Drosophila melanogaster: one gene and its partners. The protein of the gene in region 1 interacts with the protein of each later gene in a pairwise test. Each region holds a gene or a part of one and is shown in the gene's direction. Other genes may lie near its edges. The genes, in order: CG7352, FoxP, CG12496 and CG7139.

Evidence for each region.
Region 2: the proteins of CG7352 (region 1) and FoxP interact in a two-hybrid assay, tested with the Drosophila melanogaster proteins (one large-scale study listed by BioGRID).
Region 3: the proteins of CG7352 (region 1) and CG12496 interact in a two-hybrid assay, tested with the Drosophila melanogaster proteins (one large-scale study listed by BioGRID).
Region 4: the proteins of CG7352 (region 1) and CG7139 interact in a two-hybrid assay, tested with the Drosophila melanogaster proteins (one large-scale study listed by BioGRID).

What each region holds. Positions count from the first base shown.
Region 1 is NT_033777.3:8,346,006-8,350,040, forward strand, and holds CG7352 (uncharacterized protein), read left to right. Parts: upstream 1-1,713; 5' UTR 1,714-1,758; coding exon 1,759-2,619; intron 2,620-2,673; coding exon 2,674-3,213; 3' UTR 3,214-3,291; downstream 3,292-4,035. Other genes in the region: DppIII (dipeptidyl aminopeptidase III), read left to right, coding at 1-1,349.
Region 2 is NT_033777.3:9,725,485-9,733,004, reverse strand, and holds FoxP (forkhead box P), read left to right. Parts: upstream 1-2,132; 5' UTR 2,133-3,571; coding exon 3,572-4,110; intron 4,111-4,168; coding exon 4,169-4,346; intron 4,347-4,402; coding exon 4,403-4,580; intron 4,581-4,639; coding exon 4,640-4,684; intron 4,685-4,769; coding exon 4,770-4,846; intron 4,847-4,913; coding exon 4,914-5,015; coding exon of another isoform or gene 5,016-5,078; exon of another isoform or gene 5,079-5,387; coding exon of another isoform or gene 5,388-5,597; exon of another isoform or gene 5,598-5,854; intron 5,855-5,991; coding exon 5,992-6,435; 3' UTR 6,436-6,985; downstream 6,986-7,520. Other genes in the region: alphaTub85E (alpha-Tubulin at 85E), read left to right, coding at 202-726, 855-1,676; hyd (hyperplastic discs), read left to right, coding at 7,480-7,520.
Region 3 is NC_004354.4:2,408,627-2,412,572, reverse strand, and holds CG12496 (uncharacterized protein), read left to right. Parts: upstream 1-1,671; 5' UTR 1,672-1,776; coding exon 1,777-2,838; 3' UTR 2,839-3,208; downstream 3,209-3,946.
Region 4 is NT_037436.4:22,066,743-22,073,645, reverse strand, and holds CG7139 (uncharacterized protein), read left to right. Parts: upstream 1-1,797; 5' UTR 1,798-1,994; intron 1,995-2,090; 5' UTR 2,091-2,119; coding exon 2,120-2,878; intron 2,879-3,483; coding exon 3,484-4,270; intron 4,271-4,450; coding exon 4,451-5,741; intron 5,742-5,798; coding exon 5,799-5,871; 3' UTR 5,872-6,376; downstream 6,377-6,903. Other genes in the region: CG7133 (uncharacterized protein), read left to right, coding at 1-371.

The sequences.
Region 1 (4,035 bases):
ACTATGTCCGATCCTTTGAACAGGGCTCGCTGGACGAGCACAAGAACGGATCGCGTTGGTGGATCAAGGACAAGGGACCTGTCATCGAGACCTACATTGGTTTCATTGAGACATACAGGGATCCTGCTGGAGGTCGGGCTGAATTCGAGGGCTTCGTGGCCATGGTGAACAAGGAGAGCTCGGCCAAATTCTCCGAGCTGGTGAACCGCGCCGAGAAACTAATAGAGTACCTGCCCTGGACGGAGCCTTACGAGAAGGACTCTTACCTGAAGCCAGACTTCACATCCCTGGATGTCCTCACATTTGCCGGCAGCGGAGTACCAGCGGGCATCAATATTCCCAATTACGACGAAATCCGCCAGGATGAAGGCTTCAAGAACGTCTCGCTGGGCAATGTGCTGGCCAACATCAACCGCAAGGATCCCATTCCTTTCCTCACCGAGGAGGATCAAACTCTGATGAAAGAGTACAAGGTGAAGGCTTTTGAGGTGCAAGTGGGCCTCCATGAACTCCTAGGCCATGGTAGTGGCAAGCTATTCCGCATCGACGAAAATGGTGTGTACAACTTTGACAAGGAGAACACTAAGAACCTGGTCACCGGTGAACCCATCACCAAGTGGTATCTTCCTGGAGAAACTTACGACACCAAGTTCGGAGCAATTGGTTCCTCGTACGAGGAATGCCGCGCCGAGGCGGTGGGCTTGTATCTCTCCCTGCAGCGTGACATCCTGGAGATCTTTGGCTTCAAGGACAAAGCCGAGCAGGACAACATCATCTATGTCAACTGGCTGAGTCTCATCTGGAACGGCATGGGTGTGGCTCTGGAAATGTTCAACCCGAAGTCCAAGCTGTGGCTCCAGGCGCACTCTCGCGCTCGTTTCGTGATCATGAAGGTGCTGCTGGAGGCAGGCGAAGGACTCGTTAAGGTCGAGGAAACCGAAAAGGGTAAAAACCTTTTGCTGACGGTGGATCGCAGCAAGATCGATACCGTGGGCAGGAAGGCGCTGGGCGATTTCCTGACCAAGCTGCAGGTGTACAAATCCACCGCCGACATCGAGGCAGCTTCCAAGATGTACGAACACTACTCGAAGGTCGACGAGAGCGGATCGCATCCGTGGGCCAAGTGGCGGGATATCTGCCTGGCGCACAAGAAGCCGCGTATGATTCTCGTCCAGGCCAACACGGCGATCGGCCAGGACCAAAAGGTCCAGCTGAAGACCTACGAGCCCACCCACGAGGGGTACATCCAGTCATGGGTGGAGCGCTACCCCAACACTGACATCGACGATCTTCTGGAGAGCATCGTGGAGAAGGACAAGAAGTATTTCCCGACTGCCTTCAACAACTGAGAACATTTCGCATTTAACATTTTCGCCTTCATTATCAATTCAATTTGTTAACTATGATTTTGAAAAAAAATATATAAAAATATATATAGTCATCTAATGACCAACAATTTTAAATTTTAAATTGCTTTTATAGTAAAACTTTCGTAGTGAATGGTGATTTTAAGATCGTTTTTGCCATTCACCGAAAATATTGACAAAGGACCTGAATTTAATTGCTTGTATGTACATACATATATTGCGACCAAATGTATATTGCTCATAATAGCTCCACAATTAAGAATGTAAATATAAAATCAAATACTACAATTTGTTCATTGAATGTTTTCATAGTAGCCAGTCGATAAATATTGGTTTTTTTTTTTTTATTTTGTTTCTCGTTTCCATTTCTGTTTGCATTGTTTTGACCACCATGGCAACCGGTAGAAATCGTGGTAACCACAAGGAAGGTGGCACTATCAACATCGGACAGCCGCTATTCCAGGTGCCTCATTCATTGCGCAAGGAGCACGACTTTTTCAGCTCACAGCTGTTCCGAAAATTGCAGTACGACCTGGAGGAGGTGAGCCGCAGCCAGGAGCTTTCCAAAGTGAGTCCCATAACCCGCGACTTCATCGAGGAGGCAGCGATGACGCAGGAAATGCAAGATCTTAAGCGTGCGGAGTTTGTGGAGAGGAAACGTCGCCAGCAATTGCGGCGGGATTGCGAGGAACTGCGCGACTTGGCGGAGCAGCTGCGCCTAGCCGCCATTTCCAGGGATATAGCCGAGAATTTGGAGGAGAAAAAACGTCGTCGACAGCTAGACATCAAATTGGAAGCCGCGGAAGTGTCCCAAGAGCGCTGTCTGCTGGAGGTCAGGCAACGTGAGAAGGAAGTGGCTCTTAAGGAGGAACAACGCCGCCTTAGGGAGTCCTTGGCTGAACAAATGGAGGAGAACCGCCGACGGCGCCTGCAAGAGCACGCTCAGGTGATGAATGACCGGGAGCTGAGCCTTCTGATGCAGAAGCAAATCCAGGAAGAGGATCGAGCCCAGGAGCTGGAGGCGCAGAGAAAAAAACTACAAAAGCGACAGGACATGCTGCGGTCCATCAAGGAGAACCAGGAACTCAGAGAATGGCAGCGAGCTCAATACAACCAGGAGTTGAGTGACTTAGTCCAGAAGCAAAGTGACATGGAGCGCAGGAAACTCCAGCTGGAGGCTGAACGCCAGGAGATTCAACGCAAAAAACAAGAAATCAGCATTCGTTTGGGCCAGCAAGTCCTAGAAATCGAAGTAAGTCTTGAAGCGGTTTTTCGATTCAATCAATAAAGCTAACTCTTATTGCAGAACAAAAAACGGCATCGCGACAATCTGCTGCTGGATCTGTTGGAGGCGGAGTACACGGCCAAGAGTGACGAGCGCTATCGCCAACAGATGCAGCAGGAGCAGATGTCTCGCCAGCGCACCAGACAGGAGTTGGATCGCTATCGACAGGAGGTGAAGCATCGTAAGATGGCCGAAATGCAGATGAAGCGGGCGGAGATGGCTACGCGGCAGGAGGAGGCGCCGGATACAATCAACCAGAATTCCGAAAAGCAACTGGATGAATATCGCAGACGCCGGGCCCATGGAGCCTCCTTGCTTGCTATGATTGAGGATAATCACCGGAAGCGGGCGGAGGCCACCGCTGAAAATGTTCAGTACTTTGACATGAAGGCCAAGATCGATGCCGAGCAAGAGGAACGCATCAAACAGGAGCGTTTGGCCATGTTGAGCCAGGTTCCTTCCTCCGTGCTTCGATATCTACCAAAGCATGTCCTTAAGTCTACGGATAGGGAGCATTTCTGCCTAATTGACGCTCAGGCACGGGGCGGTGGCGATTCCTAGTCAGTGGCATAGTTCCAAATTGTAATTCTAAGACGGTCAAGTTTATTTTTGGCTTCCAAAAATAAATTATTTAAAATTAAGCGCCGTTGTGTCTACGTGACGTGTATCATTTAGGCTAGCGAAGATGCCAGACCGTCGCCTGTGCTGCCAGTTCGTTGTTTTGCTCGATTGGAAACCTCGATTGAAAGGATATTCTCACAGAATGCGCATCTGCTGTTTCAATTTGGTTTAATATTATTTTGAAAGCTCGGCCTAATAACCGCTTCATAATTGCCGCGAAAGTGTTTATGCAGTCCAATCAAAAATACTATAAATGTTATCTGTAATTGAAATTTTATATCAAATTGACTACTAACTATTTCTTTGCATCTTACTAATTGCATTCAAAAAACATAACTTTCATAAAATACATGTTTAGATATACGTTTATTTTGACTGGTATACCAATATATATCTTTTTATAAAAGATAAAGCCAGTGCTGCGGAAGCTTGTCGCTGGTGCAGAAGCTCGTGTGTGTGAATAGCTTCTTTTCGAAATCAGTGGTACCGAGCAATATCGAAACCAAGACATCCCTAACACGCCCATTATCGGACTATCGATACTATCGCGAGTGCTAGCTGACGCTGGTCTGGTTTTATTTTATGTTAACGGGAGTGATCTTGCGTACAAACAATAACACGGAATCGCAGTGAAAGGGCGTTGCACAAATGACAGTGTTTTGGCAAAATGCCCGGGCTAGTTTTGACCACGTTTAGCAGTGCCTAGAACGCAGAGTGCGCGACGCTAAAACAAGAGAACCGCGACAAAACAAAACGCGGAAA
Region 2 (7,520 bases), 1.4 Mb from region 1:
AAGTGATTAATTAATGGTTTTAAAAAATATAACTGCTTGTAAACTATTATCTTAAATGAATACCCAAGAACTTACAGCGATCAAAATTGTTTGTAGCATATGGTCCAAATCACAGATTTGCAACCGGAAGTCCAAAGTTAAATTTTAGAATTACCCAAATTTACAGCGACATGAGTCACATTATTATAAACTCTGTTCCAGAGGGAATGCATTTCGGTTCACATTGGCCAAGCTGGTGTCCAGATCGGCAATGCCTGCTGGGAACTTTACTGCCTGGAGCACGGCATCCAGCCCGATGGCCATATGCCCTCCGATAAAACCGTGGGCGGAGGCGATGACTCCTTCAGCACCTTCTTCAGCGAGACTGGAGCTGGTAAGCATGTGCCGCGTGCCGTGTTCGTGGATCTGGAGCCCACTGTGGTGGATGAGGTGCGGACAGGAACCTACCGCCAGCTGTTCCATCCGGAGCAACTGATCACCGGTAAGGAGGATGCGGCCAACAACTATGCCCGCGGCCACTATACCATCGGTAAGGAGATCGTCGACGTGGTCCTGGACAGGATTCGCAAGTTGGCGGATCAGTGCACGGGTCTGCAGGGATTCCTGGTCTTCCACTCCTTCGGCGGCGGCACTGGCTCTGGATTTACGTCGCTGCTGATGGAGCGCCTGTCCGTGGACTATGGAAAGAAGTCAAAGCTGGAGTTCTCCATTTACCCAGCACCACAAGTATGTCATTTGCATATGGATATTATATCTATTGCTTGAGCATTTATAGAAGACCAATTAACATAATTAGTAAAAGACATGGGAAATTAGTCTTCGAAAGGCAATCTAATAATCGAACTTCCTGTTAGGTGTCCACAGCTGTGGTCGAGCCATACAACTCGATCTTAACCACCCACACAACGCTGGAGCACTCGGACTGTGCGTTTATGGTTGACAACGAGGCAATCTACGACATCTGCCGGCGCAACTTGGATATCGAGCGACCCACCTACATGAATCTCAATCGCCTAATTGGCCAGATCGTTTCCTCCATTACGGCCTCGTTGCGCTTCGATGGCGCCCTGAATGTGGATCTGACCGAGTTCCAGACCAATTTGGTGCCCTACCCACGCATTCATTTCCCACTGGCGACATACGCTCCCGTCATTTCCGTGGAGAAGGCCTACCATGAGCAACTGACCGTGGCCGAGATCACCAATGCCTGCTTCGAGCCGGCCAACCAGATGGTCAAGTGTGATCCGCGTCGTGGCAAGTACATGGCCTGCTGCATGCTCTACCGCGGTGATGTGGTGCCCAAGGATGTGAACGCAGCCATTGCCACCATCAAGACCAAGCGCTCTATCCAGTTCGTCGACTGGTGTCCCACGGGCTTCAAGGTGGGCATCAACTATCAGCCACCCACCGTTGTTCCTGGCGGAGATCTGGCCAAGGTGCAGCGCGCCGTCTGCATGCTGTCCAATACCACTGCCATTGCCGAGGCCTGGGCCCGTCTGGATCACAAGTTCGATCTGATGTACGCCAAGAGGGCCTTCGTCCACTGGTACGTGGGTGAGGGCATGGAGGAGGGCGAGTTCGCCGAGGCTCGCGAGGATCTCGCTGCCCTCGAGAAGGACTACGAGGAGGTAGGCATCGACTCCACCACCGAACTGGGGGAAGATGAGGAATACTAGAGAAAACGTTGTCAACAAATGATACAGCCATTACAACTTTATAAACATCACTTTCTTTCTACCAAATACCAATGCATAAAACAGTTTCGCAATAAAACAGTTTAACACAATTGCTTAAAATGGCTTATTTAAATGGGAAATATTCGTCTTTAGATGGAATTTAACTTTTGTGTTAATAAGAATAAAACTTTCTCATATAAGGAAATTGGTAAATCATATATTTATTGGAAATTACCCCTCCGTAAAAAACCCTACTTATCACTTTCTTATTGCTTTAAATATTAATATTAATTGGGCAAATTAATGTTGACTTTTAAAAGTTTTTAATTTTTGAAATCGTTACGTGTAATGGAGCCTTAGGATGCATTTTGAAACGCATGCGCAAAAATGTGTACACATATTTCTAGCAAATTCAGTAGTCGTAGACGTACCTTTTCAGGAGTAGCAGCGAAAAATATTCTTAAGATAGTTTTTAAGTTTAAATTAATTTTACATATATGTGAAAAGTTGTATTAAAAAATTCGCCCGTTATTAAATATAATATTGTTCTTTGGAAACCTCTGTGAATGTTATTTAATTGTAAATGTACATGCAAAATTGTATCCTCTTTTGTCTGCAAAATTGTATGTGCATGTATGTATTCGCAAAATTTAAGTCTAGTCTGTTAAGTTAATTAAGATATTGTTGAGTAGTCTAGGCAGACAACTTTATCTTAAAAGTCCCAGTTTAAACAGTTCTTATACAGAAATTGTATGATATGTATACATATGAAATATGAATATTTTATTTACCCATATATACCCCTTGGAATAATCAATGCCCCCAACGAATACAGACAATGCAAATCTACACAATACCAACAATATATTTATCTTTATTCGCCTTTACACAAAAAGCTTATGTATATCGAATATAATACTATTTTTTCAGGATCTTCGAATGTGATGAAAACCATACCTCTCTCTTCTCTTTTATATCTTTCTTCTTTTCCTATAAAACATTTAATACTTACATATTTCACCATTTACATTTATTCTTATTTTAGGTGGCTATATAATTTTTCATTACAGGAATTTGATTAAAACAATCGTAAGATGGTCCTATCTGCAAAACTCATATACTCTTCCATTTAAGTTCATCCTATAGCCAAAACGTCCGTCCGTTTTTATATCCGTTTGTCCGTCCGTTTGTATGTCCTTCCGTTTGTATGTCCGTTTGTCCGTCCGTTTGTCCGTCCGTTTGTCCGTCCGTTTGTCCGTCCGTTTGTCCGTCCGTTTGTCCGTCCGTTTGTATGTCCTTCCGTTTGTCCGACCGTTCCGTCTGTATGTTTCTTATGTTATGTATGTTGTATATGTTTCTTTTTAGCAAAATAAGATGTGTCTGGTTTCCTTGCCACCTATGCAATCCCCTTGTGAGATCTTAAACTTGTTATACGCCTAAATATGATAAATGCTTTCTATGAATAACCTTTATATTTACAGATTAACTGCACCGGATGACGTGGCATTTTATTTGTAACATATTTAAAATTAAATCAAACATTTAAAGAATGTTTAATTTAATTTACACTGAATTCATTTAGCACTGGGCCTTTAGTAGGGGTTAAATCTTATATGCGCCAAGTTGTTAAATATTCATAACTTTTGGGGAAAGTATCATCTCAATGATAGTGCGGGAAAATTAAGCTGAAATTAAATAGGGCGTAATAAATAGAAATCCTTAAACTATCACTCTGATTCGGAGTTTTACAGGAATGGCGGCATATGAGTAAAGATAGTTTTATTGAAATGACTCCTAATGACAGACGAAAAAGAGATTATTTCTGTGTATTTGCATATGCCCATCTCTTGGGTAAAGGATCAATGGTAATGATTATAAATTTCAGTTTTAAAAACATGCATCGGATACATGACGACGAGTATTCCGAGGATGCCAAGGAATCGGACTTTAAGAGTTCGATTCAGAAGGAGATATCAGTGAAGTCGAGACACCAAATTTCCATACCAGACATATGCTCAGATGCTGTTAAGAACAATTGTTTTCCGCCGACTGGCTTTCTCAATAACTCGATCACCTTTGCCTCACATGTAGTTAAGTGCAGCTCACCGGCCTCGAGCATCGATGAATCCTCAACGGCGGCCCAGCAGCACGAATCCAATCCACACATGCATATACAGGGTCAGCATATGATGGCTCCCGTTCCCGATCTGGGTTTCTACAATGTGCCCGAGTTCATATCCGAGCAGGAGAAGCTCATGTTCTCCGATGCAGAGAGATTCTTGCGGTCGAAGGATAATGAGGTGTGCAACAATGATTTCAGCTATATGCACGATGAGTTCGCCATGCGGAAGTACTATCATCCGTTATTTGCTCATGGCATATGCCGTTGGCCTGGTTGCGAAATGGATTTGGAAGACATCACATCGTTTGTCAAGTAGGTGGAGTACAATTAGAGGTATGAAATAATTATATAGGGTATGTTATCTAACTAGGCATCTGAATACGGAACATGGTTTGGACGATCGATCAACAGCACAGGCACGGGTTCAAATGCAAGTTGTCTCCCAGCTGGAATCCCACCTGCAAAAAGAACGAGATCGCTTGCAGGCAATGATGCATCACTTGTATTTGTCCAAGCAGCTTTTGTCTCCCACCAAAATCGACAGGAAGGTAAGTCCCTTTTTATGTGAGTAAGTATTGGTATAATGAAAAGTTATAAATATAAGGACGTGCCCGGAAGAGAGGGAAAGTTTTGCCGGAGTCCGCTTACCGTAAATAGCATAGGCCGACCCATCCGACAAACAAATTCACCGAGTCCTCTGAATCTTCCAATGGTTAATTCCACCAACTTGTGCTCGATCAAAAAGAGAAACCACGACAAAAATACATTTTCCATAAATGGGGGTAAGTTTGGGAAAAATTTACTATTACTGTATAAAAATAATAATGGTTTTTGGATATAGGATTACCCTATATGCTTGAAAGAGCAGGTCTTGATGTGCAACAGGGTAAGTAAATTATGTAGACTGATCGTCTTGATGACTATTCGTCTTGTGCTTCTGGAAGACATATAATAAGAATTTAAATTTGCAGAAATCCATCGAAACAGAGAGTTTTATAAGAATGCTGATGTACGACCGCCTTTTACTTATGCTTCCCTCATAAGACAGGTAATTTTAAAAACCAATTTCCTAATATAACATTAATTTATTTTTTTTATATATATTTTATTTATAGGCTATAATTGACTCCCCTGACAAGCAGTTAACCCTAAACGAAATCTACAACTGGTTCCAAAACACATTTTGCTACTTCCGGCGCAACGCAGCTACGTGGAAGGTAAAATGCCCCATATATGTAAATCTTCTTTCCTCCATATTATCTATATATTATGCAACATAACTTTAATTTGAGTATTTATGCTATATGATATGATATCTATGATCTGATATGACCATTTGTCCGTCCGTATAACTCTCGTTTGTCCGATTGGCGTTCCTAGCTTGTCCGCTGTATATATACTATATACTACCTTTTCCACATTGTCCACTACTTTGCCAATATTTAAGAGTATAATAGAGCTAAATACAAGTGATATATAACAAGGTAAGCTACACAGGTCAGATCCTGTTTTATTCCATTTCCTTTTTATATGTCTTAAAATAATCAAATTAAGTTTGGCCTATGCTAACTGATAATATATATCATTAGAACGCAGTCCGGCACAATCTGTCCCTTCATAAGTGCTTTATGCGGGTTGAGAATGTGAAAGGAGCAGTTTGGACTGTCGATGAGATTGAGTTTTACAAAAGACGACCGCAGCGCACTGCTGGCATTGGTAACAATCTAACCGGTGCTACCAATTCGCCGGACACTAACTATTTTGTAGCCATGAACATTGGGTATGTGGGTCTCAAATAGTTTAATTCTACTCACTTTGCTCCAAACTCCTTCCGTTTTGCTCTGTTAGTAAATATACATATGCCATTGCATGCATGCTCCTATATCGAAATGATATAATATGACATTATACGATCTTTTTACAGCGCAAATTGTAAACAGTGATTCTAATCTCTTAGTGGTAGAAACCCAAAATGATGTCCGTCTGCTCATCGATCTGTCTGTCTGTCTGTCTGGAATTTAGCTGATGAAGATTATCCAGGATTTCGCGTGTTATGAAAAATGAAAATAAGAAGACCGAAGACAAATGAACTAACCTTAATATCTCAATGAACTTTTTCTTCCTTTCACGATAATGCAATTTCCTGTTTCTGACTCTTGATGGGGCTCTTGTTTTGTCCAACCAATCATAAAGAATGCGATTCGTACGAACCTTTCCTTACACAAGTGCTTTGTACGTTATGAAGATGACTTTGGCTCGTTTTGGATGGTCGACGATAATGAGTTTGTCAAAAGGCGGCACTTGTCGAGAGGGAGACCCCGGAAATATGAACCGTCCTCCTCCCCAAATTCATGCCAATCCGGCAATGGTGTGCCCACTGATAAGAATCCCTGCGACAATTGTACGCAACATTGCACTAGTTTGCCACCGGGTGCTGATAATCCTCTAGATTCCAATAATCCAAATGATTTAGGCAGAATTGGTTGTCTTCCCTATTGCGGTAGTGATGGTTTAAGTAAAGCGTCCAAGGACTATAGCAATATGGACTCGGGTATGATCGAAAGTAACAGCCACTTGACAATCGATGAATATTCTACTAATATGTACGAGAGTAGTGCCAATGAGCACAATCGATAAATAATATATCATTAACTATACATATATTTAGATGCATTGTCGAGTAATCTGCGTTTGGTAAGAAGGTTCGGATTCGGAAATTATATCTGTACATACACATGGTTCTATGTATAATTTCCCAAATAGAAATGAAAAAATACTTTTAAAATAAATTTCACTAATGCTATAAAATAAACGAAAGAACTACGTTAAATTATTAAAGCAAAATTAATGTGTTTAAACTTGCTTTAATAACTCCACTTATAACACGATTTTAATATACGAGTACAACATATATGAATATTTTCACTTTTCAGCAAGGGAGAAAACATTTAAAAGCTATAGCTTGATAAAATTTTAACAAAACTGTTTTAAAAGTCACAATATGATTTTTTTTTAAGGAAACTATTTTCAGGTATACCTTCTGTTAAAAATCTGGACCCTTGAGAGCTTTAGATTTGGAAACTCCTTAGTAAACGTATATGCTTTTCTGCTGACTTATCTAATTTCCTTCTAATTTAAGATCATTAACGATACTCAGTGACCTAAATAAATTCCTCAAATATACAACAAAGTGAACAAACTGAATTTTATTTCTAGTTCCTAAGCAAACGGTTTACGCGACGTAAAAGCGGTTAAATCGGCTTCTCAAAAGTTTGTCAATCAAAGTTTTCTACCAATTCATTATTTTAAAGCGGTCTTTAGTATATTTTAGTATATTCTATTGGAGATTTTTTGGACTGCCACTATTTAAGGAAAAACAACCGATAAGAATGGACGCATTCGTGAACTTCTGTATCTTAAATTTAATAAAATATATACAGCCTAAGTACACATATTGTAGTCAATGTCAATTTAATTTGAAAGTAAAGTTTTTGTTTACCAATAAATTTGTTTGGAGAATGTATCGATACCGTCGAATTTTCCGGCAACCATCGATACAGTCGGGCGGCATCGGTTTTCGTCCCAGCTCTAGCCAGTACGGTCACTCTGAAAGTCTCTCAACGTTTTGTGACATGAAAATTCAACGAGGACACTGTGTACATGAATAGTTGAAAAATTAAAATGGTTTCCATGCAATTTGTTTTGCAACCGCTACCGGGCTC
Region 3 (3,946 bases), on another chromosome or scaffold:
TCCTTTTGTGCGGCTGTGTAAACAGCAATAACTCAGCGCCACAAAGAGAATCGAAGGACTCGGGGACATAACGAGGGCAAATCGAAGGGAAAAGAGGTAAAAAGTAAGCAAAAGCAGGAGCGCATTTCGCAAAGTAAACGTTGAAAAAGAGTTGAAAAGTTGAGAAATTCGCCATTTCAGTGGATGGAACGGGGTAATCGATTAACTACCCCAGCACCCTTTTTGTGTCCCTATCCAGGATGAAAGCCGATCGGAAGATAGTCACATGAAAACATATGAAACAAAACGACTTTCACCACAAAAAAGCCGAAAAGGATAACGTGCGAAATATACGATCCCCGTTAGCGAAAATCTTTCAGCAATCGATCGCAAATAAAGATATCTCCAGGGGACCAGAACCCATTCAAAGATGCCTTTACATGCTGAACTAGATCAGAACGTCAGATAGCAAGCCACGTCGGTCACGGACACTTTGAGTGATCCAAGTCCAGGAGATGACGAGCGCCGATCACTTGAACGTCACTTAGGATCGCTGGTCGATGATCACTTGAAGATCACTCAGGGATCTCGATGATCACTTCATCTACAGCTGGTCAAGAGCCACATATGGGGGCAGTTATCTTTGATCTTGTCATCGGAAATATAATCTACTTATTGGTTCCATATTTCATATTCATATGGAGGACAGCGGCTGTGCTTTAAAATATAGATCACTACAAAGGTTATGGGAACCATTTCCTTTTACATTTACATTTCAAAGTTAAATCCATACAAGTTGTGAATTTGCATTGCATGAGGCCCATCTATTTGTAGAAAGAACACTTATTAAAAAGTTGATAATTTGATAATGCATACTGTGTACAAACTTTTCCCCTGTTGGGTGAGCAACTGACGCTTTGCACAGGACTTTTCCCAGAGTTTGTAACGTTTTTCTAATGCTTCCTTCCGGAAGTGGCAAACATTTTCAATTAAAGCCGCCGAGTATATAAATTGCATTTGCGGCCGCTAAAGAGCCGCAATTAATACTGATACCGCGCTACGACAAGTGGCTAAAATGACGAGGAGCTGTCGGCCAGGAAGTTGGACTTGGCATCGGCTAATTAGCCGGCCAACCTGACTTCCCTTCTCCCTTTTCCGTTCACTATTTTCCAGCCTGTTGCTGCTCTAAATGTCCATTCAAATGAGGGGGAGACAAGGGCGAAAGGAAGCAGACTTCCTTGAGGGGAATGAAAGCAAATTTAATAACCAAGCGCTGGCCGATAGACATCTAGATGTCATTTTCGTGTGGTGGTGCTGTGGATGAGTGCCTGGATTGGAGTGGGTGATTCTCGGCCGGTACTGCGAACTGTGGGAAAGGACGAATACCTCCAATACCTCCATCAAAATATCAGATCTCGTTGGCATAGAGATCATACTTTCATATTCTAAGCTAAGCTGCTGATATCCTCGAGCTTGTTGCTCAAGTTCCTCGAGATCCAAAGACAATTTGCTACCACACACATCCGTTGGCCAAAGAGAGTCTTTTCATCCAAGGAGAGAACGCCGGAGAGAGCGAGTGTCCTTCTGCCCGCCGGGGTGCCTCTTGCGCAACAACCCCTAGCCCCGTAACCCCTAGCCATTAACCCCTGAGCGCCGAGCGGGTATAAAACGCAGCCCGCTCCCCGTACCGCTTCAGTTTGTCAGCGAGAGCGGTCGAGAGCAGAAGACTAGCAGAGTCTAGAAGTACATCTTTTTTTTTTGTGCACCAGGAGCAGCAGAAACAGAACCACACACAACATGCTGAAGTGGACGGCATCGGCGCAGCGCCTGAACGAGATTCCCGTGCACGATCAGGATGCCAACCAGCCGCAGAGGAGGAGGCTGCAGAGGAGGCAGCGCCGTCAGCGGAGGGCCACCATTGCCAACAAGGAGAACGTGCCTGACACCGTGGGCTACACCTCCACGCCAGTGCCCATTACCCGGCTGCGCAACAGTCCCCTGGTCCTGGCGCCGCTGAGCGATATCCGGAATGTCACCCCGGAGGCGGTGGTGCGCAGTCAGGCGCCCCAAAGGGTACAGAGTGTGCGATACGCCACCACATTGCCACGTTTTGCCGAGGACTACTCGCCCAACGGACTGCCCAGTGGTCAGCACTTGGCGCTGAGGGGCCTGGCTCCGTTGGATCCCTTTCTGGGCCAGCCGCGCTATATTGTAGGCTCGGGTGCAGGAGTTAACAAACTCAAGCAGCGTAGACTGGACGAGGACTTTGTGGCCACCTTGGAGCCGGAGTTGCAGGAGACGGCAGTGCCAGAGCCACCCACCCCCAAGGTGGAAGTGCGTCCAAGCACACCGCAGCCCGCCTCCACGCAGATGGGTGATCAGACCTTGGATCGCCTAATCGATGCCATCTTGGATTCCGCCTGCAAGGCGAACGCCAGCAGCAAGAAGAAGCCGAGAAGGTCCACCTTCAATCTGCGCAGACGCACCTTGGTCAAGCAGCAAATGGAGTCGAACTGCCCCCAGGAGGTGCTGTCGCCATCCTACGCACCTGGAGACGATCCGGCCTCGGATCTGAGCTTTGGCCTGGTTCCCCTGCCCATGCACAACCTGATGCCCACTCCGGAACCGGCATCGCCCCTGGCCAAGATTCCTCACAACTTGCTTGTCCAACTGGCCACTCCAGTGGCCCCCAAGTCTGCCCCCTGCGACAACACCTTCTGCCTGGAGACTCCAGTCAAGGCCCTGAAGAGGACCCGCAAGGAGATCGTCGCCAAGGAGTCCCCCATTAAGCGCTACAAGGTCGACGAGCGCAATTACTTCGAGGTGGGATTGGCCCTGCCCTCGTCTATATATGTCTGAGCAGAGGTAATTTCAAACAGATCCTCGGAAAGCCACAAAAATGAGAAGAGAAACTAAATGCGAGATGGAGATGAAGATGGAGACGAGAAAGCGAGCAACGCTGACAAACGGGGGGAAAACGCTTAACTATGACGCTTAACTAGTTCCTAAGTCGTAAACTAATCATCTTTCAATTACTGTACATAATTTCTTAGGCCACCTTAATCACTATTTATTCCAATTACTAATATAACCATTTTTTTTTTTGCTGCTGTTATGTAGTTTTCGAATATACCTTTTTTTTCATTATTTAATTTTAAACAAATATGAATATTTATTGCTACTTTAAGTTACCCAAATAATTATTTTTTCAAAATAAAAGCATTAAATCAAAAACAATGGAGTACACTTTTCTTTTCTTTTGAAACGGGGAAAACTTTATATATCAGCTTATCATCATTAATGTCGCTTTTTTGAGTAACTTTGGCTACTTCCATGCGTACTGCCCAATATAGGGATATGGGATTGTATTGATTTCAAAATGGTGATATTTGAAAAAGACTAGACTATCTTCATAGTCTAGAAATGTTTTCTCATGTATCCATTGGAATCTACTCTTTAAATGTTAGGTTTATAGTTGGTTTCTGAACTATTTTCGAGATACGAACAAATATCATTTTTGTTGTGCCATAGCATCGCATCGAGTTTTCTGATGAATGCGAAACATCTGCGGTGACCTTCGTCACCTACGCAATATCCCAGCTCGTGCCGATTGCATTTTGACCTGCCGATACGTACAACATATATTTACACAGTTGCTTGACCAAGCGATTTGCTTTGCTTTTCCAGGCGACCAAAACAAACAACGGCGATGCAGGTTGGGAACTGGGAATAATTGAATGCCTGACAGGTACAATGGCACGCCCCGGGATCTACAATCAAGAAGAAAAGAAGAAGTCAGAGGCAGCCAACAGCTGGTCCACTCCTTGTTTCCGAGGACTCAGGACTCTGCGTCCGCTGTGCTGCTCAATTGGCTATTTTCCCATCGAACTATATGACGATATGTTATTAAATATTCATTGTGACCGCTTTTAAAGAGAACACATTTTGCGGACACTCGCTTATCATA
Region 4 (6,903 bases), on another chromosome or scaffold:
AATCCCTACCAAGCAAAGCTTCAGTGAATTCTGCTACGGAAACAGTCGCTAAAACACTTTCCCAGGGATCACGAGCTGGACCATATTCAGCTTTGAAAACAGTTTGGTCCTCAGCGGTTTCATATCTGCGCTCTCTTCTAAATTGGGCAACTACACCGAAATGGGGGAAGGCAACACCAGCAACCATTGCTGGTTTGGTTCATAACTCCAGACCAGTTTGGTCATCTGCAGCAAAAAATACCCTTGCTGCCTTGATGTATGCATGCTCCAAAATATCTTCGTATTTGCGCGCTTTGGCCGGGCGCTTTATTAGTCCCACCTTTAGACGCCTCCAAAGACTACAATCTTTTAAAGGAAGCTTGAAAAATTGAAAAATTCCATATCTGGTGACTCCGCTAAAAACGCGTAGAAGGCAACTCAGACAGAGCAGCTCCGCCTCAATCTAAAGGTATATCCTGAAACATGTTTTGCTTTTTTTAATCAAGAAGCATTAAAGAAATAGGGTTAAAATAGAATCGAATACGATATGGCATACACACAAAAAAAAATTCAAATAAATAAAATTTTTATACCTTCGGACTAAAATATTGTTTTCATACTCTGCATCGGATTTGGTTATGTATATACAGCTGTGTTCAATGAAATAGCAGTGCGAAATATGAAATACAGATATTTTTCCATGTCCCTTTTCGGTATCGACTATTTATTCCACTTATTTTTGAATATGTGCCCTGTCCAGTCAGGAACTTTGAAAGCTAGAATGTTAAGAATAATTATAGCGATTATAGAGACATAGACGCAGCGCAAGTTTGTTGACCCATGTTAACACGCCCAATAAACGCCCACAAGCCGCCCAAAACTGTCCAAATTGTTAAGATATTTTTTTCATTTTTTATTTGTCTATTATAATTATATTTTATTATATTATATTTTATTATTTTTATATTATATATATATACATATATATATATTATACATATTATTATATATATTATATTATTATATACATTATATTTTAATTTTTTCGTTTTATTGTGTGTCTTGTCAATTTCCATCTGTATCAAAAACACTTTTGCCACGTCCCTCTTTACACCAGCAAAACGCCCAAAACATTCCCACTTTTAAACAATTTTAAAAAATGTTCTTAAAATTAATGAAATTTGCACACTACTAACTGAGTAAATGGTATCTCAATAAAATATGATGGCAAATGTAGAAACGAAAGACGTATTTATTTTCTTTAAACAACAATATGTCCTTGGTGCGAAATAATATACAGATAACACGATTTATTTATCGATGTTTTTCCATACAAAGATAACACACATTTCCTCAATATCGATCGATATTCCAGAAAAATTATGAAATTCGCACACTACTAACTGAGTATCTTATAGTCGGGTAACTCGACTATAGCATTCTCCCTTCTCTTCTTCTGTTCACAATTCCATTTCTATGTTATCGGAAGAAAAACTATATTTTGCTGCGTAAGCGAAACTAGAATTCGGGTGTTTAGTACCCAATTAACAGCTCTCAAAGTTCCCGAGATATTGGATTTCGTACGGACGGACGTGATAACGACGTTATAATTTCATGTTATTTTATAACATTTATCATAATCATATTAAGAATCTTATTTATGTGCTTAACATAATGTTTTCATAGTATTAAAAAAAAAAATCCAAAAACTTAGCGATTTTATTCCGAAGCAATAGCTTGGCTTGAAAAAAGCTGGCCGCCAGCACTGCTGCTTATCGATGACGCGTGACCATAGCCTCCTCCATCGATAGCCTCCGCACAGACGTGGTTTTCCCAACTTGCAATGCAGCGAATTAACGGATGTAATGCGACGCATAGCTTCCCGATTTCTGGAAACAAGCAAACGAAGTTGCAGCCCGCAGGTTGATCCTTGCATGACAACCGATTGAATGAGAGAGATTGAGACATCAACGCGCAGTTACGACATCGGGGGATTACAGTCTGGTCAGATATTGGTGAGTCCGAGATTCAGATGCGAATTGGGTGATGGGGTGTCTGTGGTTACTGCGCATTACGTTGGTCGATCCCCCCTAAACGATCTGCTTTCACAGGGCAAGCTAGCAAAAGGAAAACAAACGCCATGTCGACAGAGCGAAGCTCGCATTCAGCTGAACCAGCGGATTTGGCGCTTTTGTTGGACCGCATCAACATCAACAACAACAATAATAATAATAAGAATAATAATAATAATAATAACAACAACAACAACAACAATAATAATAATGACAATAACAATTGCGGTCGCAGCAAGAGCGGTGGAACTCACAGGAAATATGCAACTGCTGAAGCCCCAAGCTCCATTAGAATGTGCCCCGCCAGCAATCTGAACAGCAACCAAAGCAACAAACAATTTAACTCGATTTGCCAGCGGGCGCAGGCGGGCCATAAGCTGATGATCATAATGCGCGGCCCTTCAGGCAGCGGTAAGAGTACACTGGCAGAGTCTCTGCTGCGCCAGGCGCATCTACTCGATCGACACCAGGTGCGCGACTTTGTCCTGAGCTCAGACGACTACTTCAAGACGCGCCGCGGCTATGTCTTCAACCCCACTCTGCTGCCAGCTGCCCACGAGTGGAACCAGCAGCGAGTGCGCGATAAGGCCGCCTCCGGCTGGAGCCCCATCATCGTGGATAACACCAATACAATGGTCTGGGAGATGCAGCCATATGTCCAGTTCGCCGTGCGCCACGGTTACGTAATTGAGCTTCTCGAGCCCAATACTAGTTGGTGCAAGTCTGCCAGCAAACTGGCCCAGAAAAACGTCCACAACGTCCCACGGGAGAATATTCAGCGCATGCTAGAGCGATTCGAGCGGACGACTGCGGGAGAGCTCATTCAGGTAAGAAGGCACTTTAAATCGTCTATATACATACATATGTATATAAAGATAGAGATTTATTGTTAACTGCAATCTCATTGTGAGTCAGCCAAAAATGTGTAATTGTATACCCGTTACGCGAGTGTAAAACGTTTAACTAAGCTCGATAAAAAATCTTTAAGAGGTATATATTTATTCTTAATCATTATCACTGACCAATTCAATTTTGCTTCTTTGCATTTCATTATTTTTCCGGCGAACTTCCTTTGAATTGCGAAAAACATTCAGACCACCTGCAGAAACATAGTAGAGGCCTTTTTTGTTGGCTACTTAATTTTTTAGGGCATACCATGGTCAGTCAGAAAGTCGCTGGCAATCTGAGAAACAGTCGCTTTTTTGTAGCTGAGAGAAGACGGGTATCGAATATCCGAGGATCGGAATGTGGCAGTCTAGCCACATACACATACAATTTGAGGCAACTAGCTCGTTTTCATTTTTTATTGGTAAATTTTTGGTATATTACGTTCTTGGTTGTATTTTATTTTCTACCCCGAAGCTTATTAAGTAATGGCACTTACTATAGTTTGTATCTTTCACATCCTCTACCGGAATATTTTATGCGACAGTTAATGAAGGAGACAAAGTATTCTGTGGAGCTGCCGCAACTACGCAATCACCCGCCCCTTCCTGCCGTGCCTATCATCACGAGCTTTGAAGAGAGCAAGCTGCTGGAAGCCCCAGTCCCAGCGCCAGCGGAAAATGCCTTTAAGCTGAATGCTAATGCCCAAACGTGGGTGCCCTACGAGCACGGAGCGCCTTCATACTGGTCGCAAACAGTGAACTCAGTAGACACAGGCGACGCGACAGTTCCGGAAATTCCGGATGCTTTGGGTGCCGCAGCTCCCGTAAAGAGCGAATTGTCTATTATTGATCTGCTCCGCGAAGAGAACCAAATAAAGGTGGTGCCGTCGAAAGCGGAGTCTAGCGGGGCAAAGCCTCTTGAGATGCACAGCCTAGACTGCCCAAATGAACCGAAAGGGTTTGCACACCTGCGCCAGATGTATCCCAACAAACAGCTGGCCGGCCTCTGGGATCTGTTTGTAAAGTGCCAGGCCGACGTGGATTGGGCCGTTGATATTCTATTAAAGGAGGACGAGCTCAACGCGGCCACTGGTTCGGATCAAATCGGATTTGAAGAAACTATCGATAGCGAGGAGGCGGCGCAGTTTCAATGCGACTGCGACAAGGCGGTTGAAGCCCAGGAATCTCCGATTTCAACTCCCATCTGCGCCTCACCAACTTTACCAGTATCGAAGACCGAATCCAAGCCGCAACGTCAACCGCGCAACAAACGAGCATCGGCCCCCACCAACAAAGAGTTGCAACTGAAAATCCAGAATTGCTTTGTGTTAGGTAAGATATTGTTCTAATAGGAGTCAATTAAAAATAAACTTATTATTTATATTGCGTTAACACTCACGGCACTAATGAATTTAATGTATTTCCATTATATTATGTTAGAGATTCGAGTTCGATATCTGATGCTAACTAATATTAAATAACTAATAATAACTAATGATTATTGATTTTTAGGCGACGAACAATACTCGGAGCACACCCGTAAAATTCGCGATATTCGCAATGGAATCCTGGATCAACCTACAGTGCCTAAGCTACTGGAAGCACCCGAGGAACCAGAGCTTGAAGAGCAGGAGGAGGAGGAGGACCCTGAAGAAAATACTCTGCTGGAAATTGATTTGGGCGGCACTTTAATTGAGCAGCTGCGCGCTCAGTTCCACACGGAGGACGAGTTGTTGCCGCCGGAACAGGAGCTTCCCACCGCAACAAAAATATTTATGCCGCGTCAGCTAGCCAAGCAGCTTTACATGTTATGGATGGAAGCTGTGTTTAACCAGCTAGAGGAGATACGCCAGCAGACAATGCGCGATGACGAGCAGTTCGCCCGCCTGCTCAAGCATCCAGGTTACGCCGATTGCAGCGAGTCTCCGAGCAACGTGGCTGAGCTTTTGGATATGGAGTTGGCCTGGAGCATATACAATAGCGAGCAGCTGGCCGCCAAGAAGGCAGCCGAGTTGACCGCTCGCAAACAAACGCCCACCGATATAGCTACCCACCTAACCAAGATGAAGCTGTGCGAGACGTTCCCGGACGTTCCTACCGACACTGTGCTTGAGGTCTTTGCCGCAACCGGCAGCAATTACGTTCAAACAGTCGAGGTCTTGGACAGCAACGTTAAGAGTATGCTGAGCAAAGCGGAACTCTATGATAAGGCCCTTCGCGAGGGCGAAAAGCTTAGTGAGCAAATGGCGCTGGAAGAGCGGCGGCAGCAGCAGCAACAAAAGCAACATAACTCCTCCGGCCAAGGCCAGCGCTCCAGCTCCAGTTCGTACGCCTCTGGCCGGTCGCCCCAACTGCAAGAGGAGGTCAAGTGCGCCGCTCTTCGCGACTTTGAAGAGACGCGAAACATGGCCGCCCATCACTCCCAACTTAAAGCAGAGTGCTATCTAAAGGCCAAACAGGCGGTACAGCGCGGCAATAGTAGCGTGGCGTTATACTACTCGGAGATAGCCAAGTTACACAAGCAGAAGATCGACGTATTCAACCAGAGGGCGGCCAATTGCATAATGGAGGTGCATCGGCACACCCAGAACAACCCGGACCTGCTAGACCTGCATTACCTACACACGGTAGAGGCGATCAGTTGCCTGGACTTGTTCCTTGACCGCCACATAACTGTGCTGCGCAACACCACCCGCGTGTACAAGCACGTATTCATTATCACGGGCCGTGGTCTTCACAGCGCAAACGGAGTGTCCACCATTAAGAACAGGGTGAAGGCCAGGCTGGGCGAACGCCGTTTGCGGTTAGTAAGGGGCATATTTCGTTAAAAGTCGTCTAATTATTCACCAACCTATTTCAGATGGCAAGAAGTTAATCCAGGGTTGCTGCGCGTCAAGGTGTTTTCAGCATCGCGTCATTCAAAGAACTTCTGATTGGATGCGAATCGCACGACAGGACTTGCTGGACAAAATGCGTTTCACACTGCCATATAGAAAAAAAGCAAGTGTTATTTAACTTTTGTAATTGCCTACAAAATTGTAAAGTTAAGTAATCATTTTCCCCTGTCCTGGTCGCTGTTTTACTTTCGAATGTGTTCTATAACCTATGAAACATTCCCGATTTTATTACTCTATATTACTTTCAATGCTCGTCCCAATTATTTTTAAGTTTGAATAATGCTTCCAGCGTAGAGTTTGTGTACGACGCGAATTCGCAATGCGACTCAGGAAAGTAGTGATTTAGTATCTTCCAATAATATACCTAATCACAGAATTACTTATTTTTATACTAGTTTACTCAATGTACTACCTAGGTACAATAGGATTAGTGTAAAAATAGTAGTCCTAAGGTACACGAGGTCCAAAAATTACCATTACATTTCAGATTAATAAGCAAATATTGACATTTTCTTTATAAATAAATCGAAACGTGAGAAGGATATTATTCAGACAAGTTTTTAAACGAACATCGTAGTACGATATTTTATTTTTCAAACTGTTACATCGAACATTCTACAATATGTTGTAAACATACTGGCTTCGAAAATCAATTTGTACTACAAATTACGTAGTAGCAATGTATGCCTAGATCCGTCAATTAGCCATCGAACTTTCCAGTGTTTACAATAGTGGTTGGTTTAGTTCTAGGTACCGCTGATCAGTCTGTTCTATGAGCAATATAAACCTTCCTTCTGCCTACCTGGACCATCTGCCCGGCAGGGAAGAGCATAACCTTGGTTTAATGTTTGAAACATGGAAAGACGACAATCTTTATTTACCACTACAAAATCTTTTAGCCTGACATCGGAAAACGCGTGACACGAAGCTTAGGTAAACTGAAGGATCAGCCGAGGATACACATCTGGGTGTACACCTGCTGACCGCTGGGTGTGAACAATACATTCAGGTAAATGGTAACTTATTCTAGAACATCGATGGCAGTCTGAGCGAGGGCTCCATGGCTTT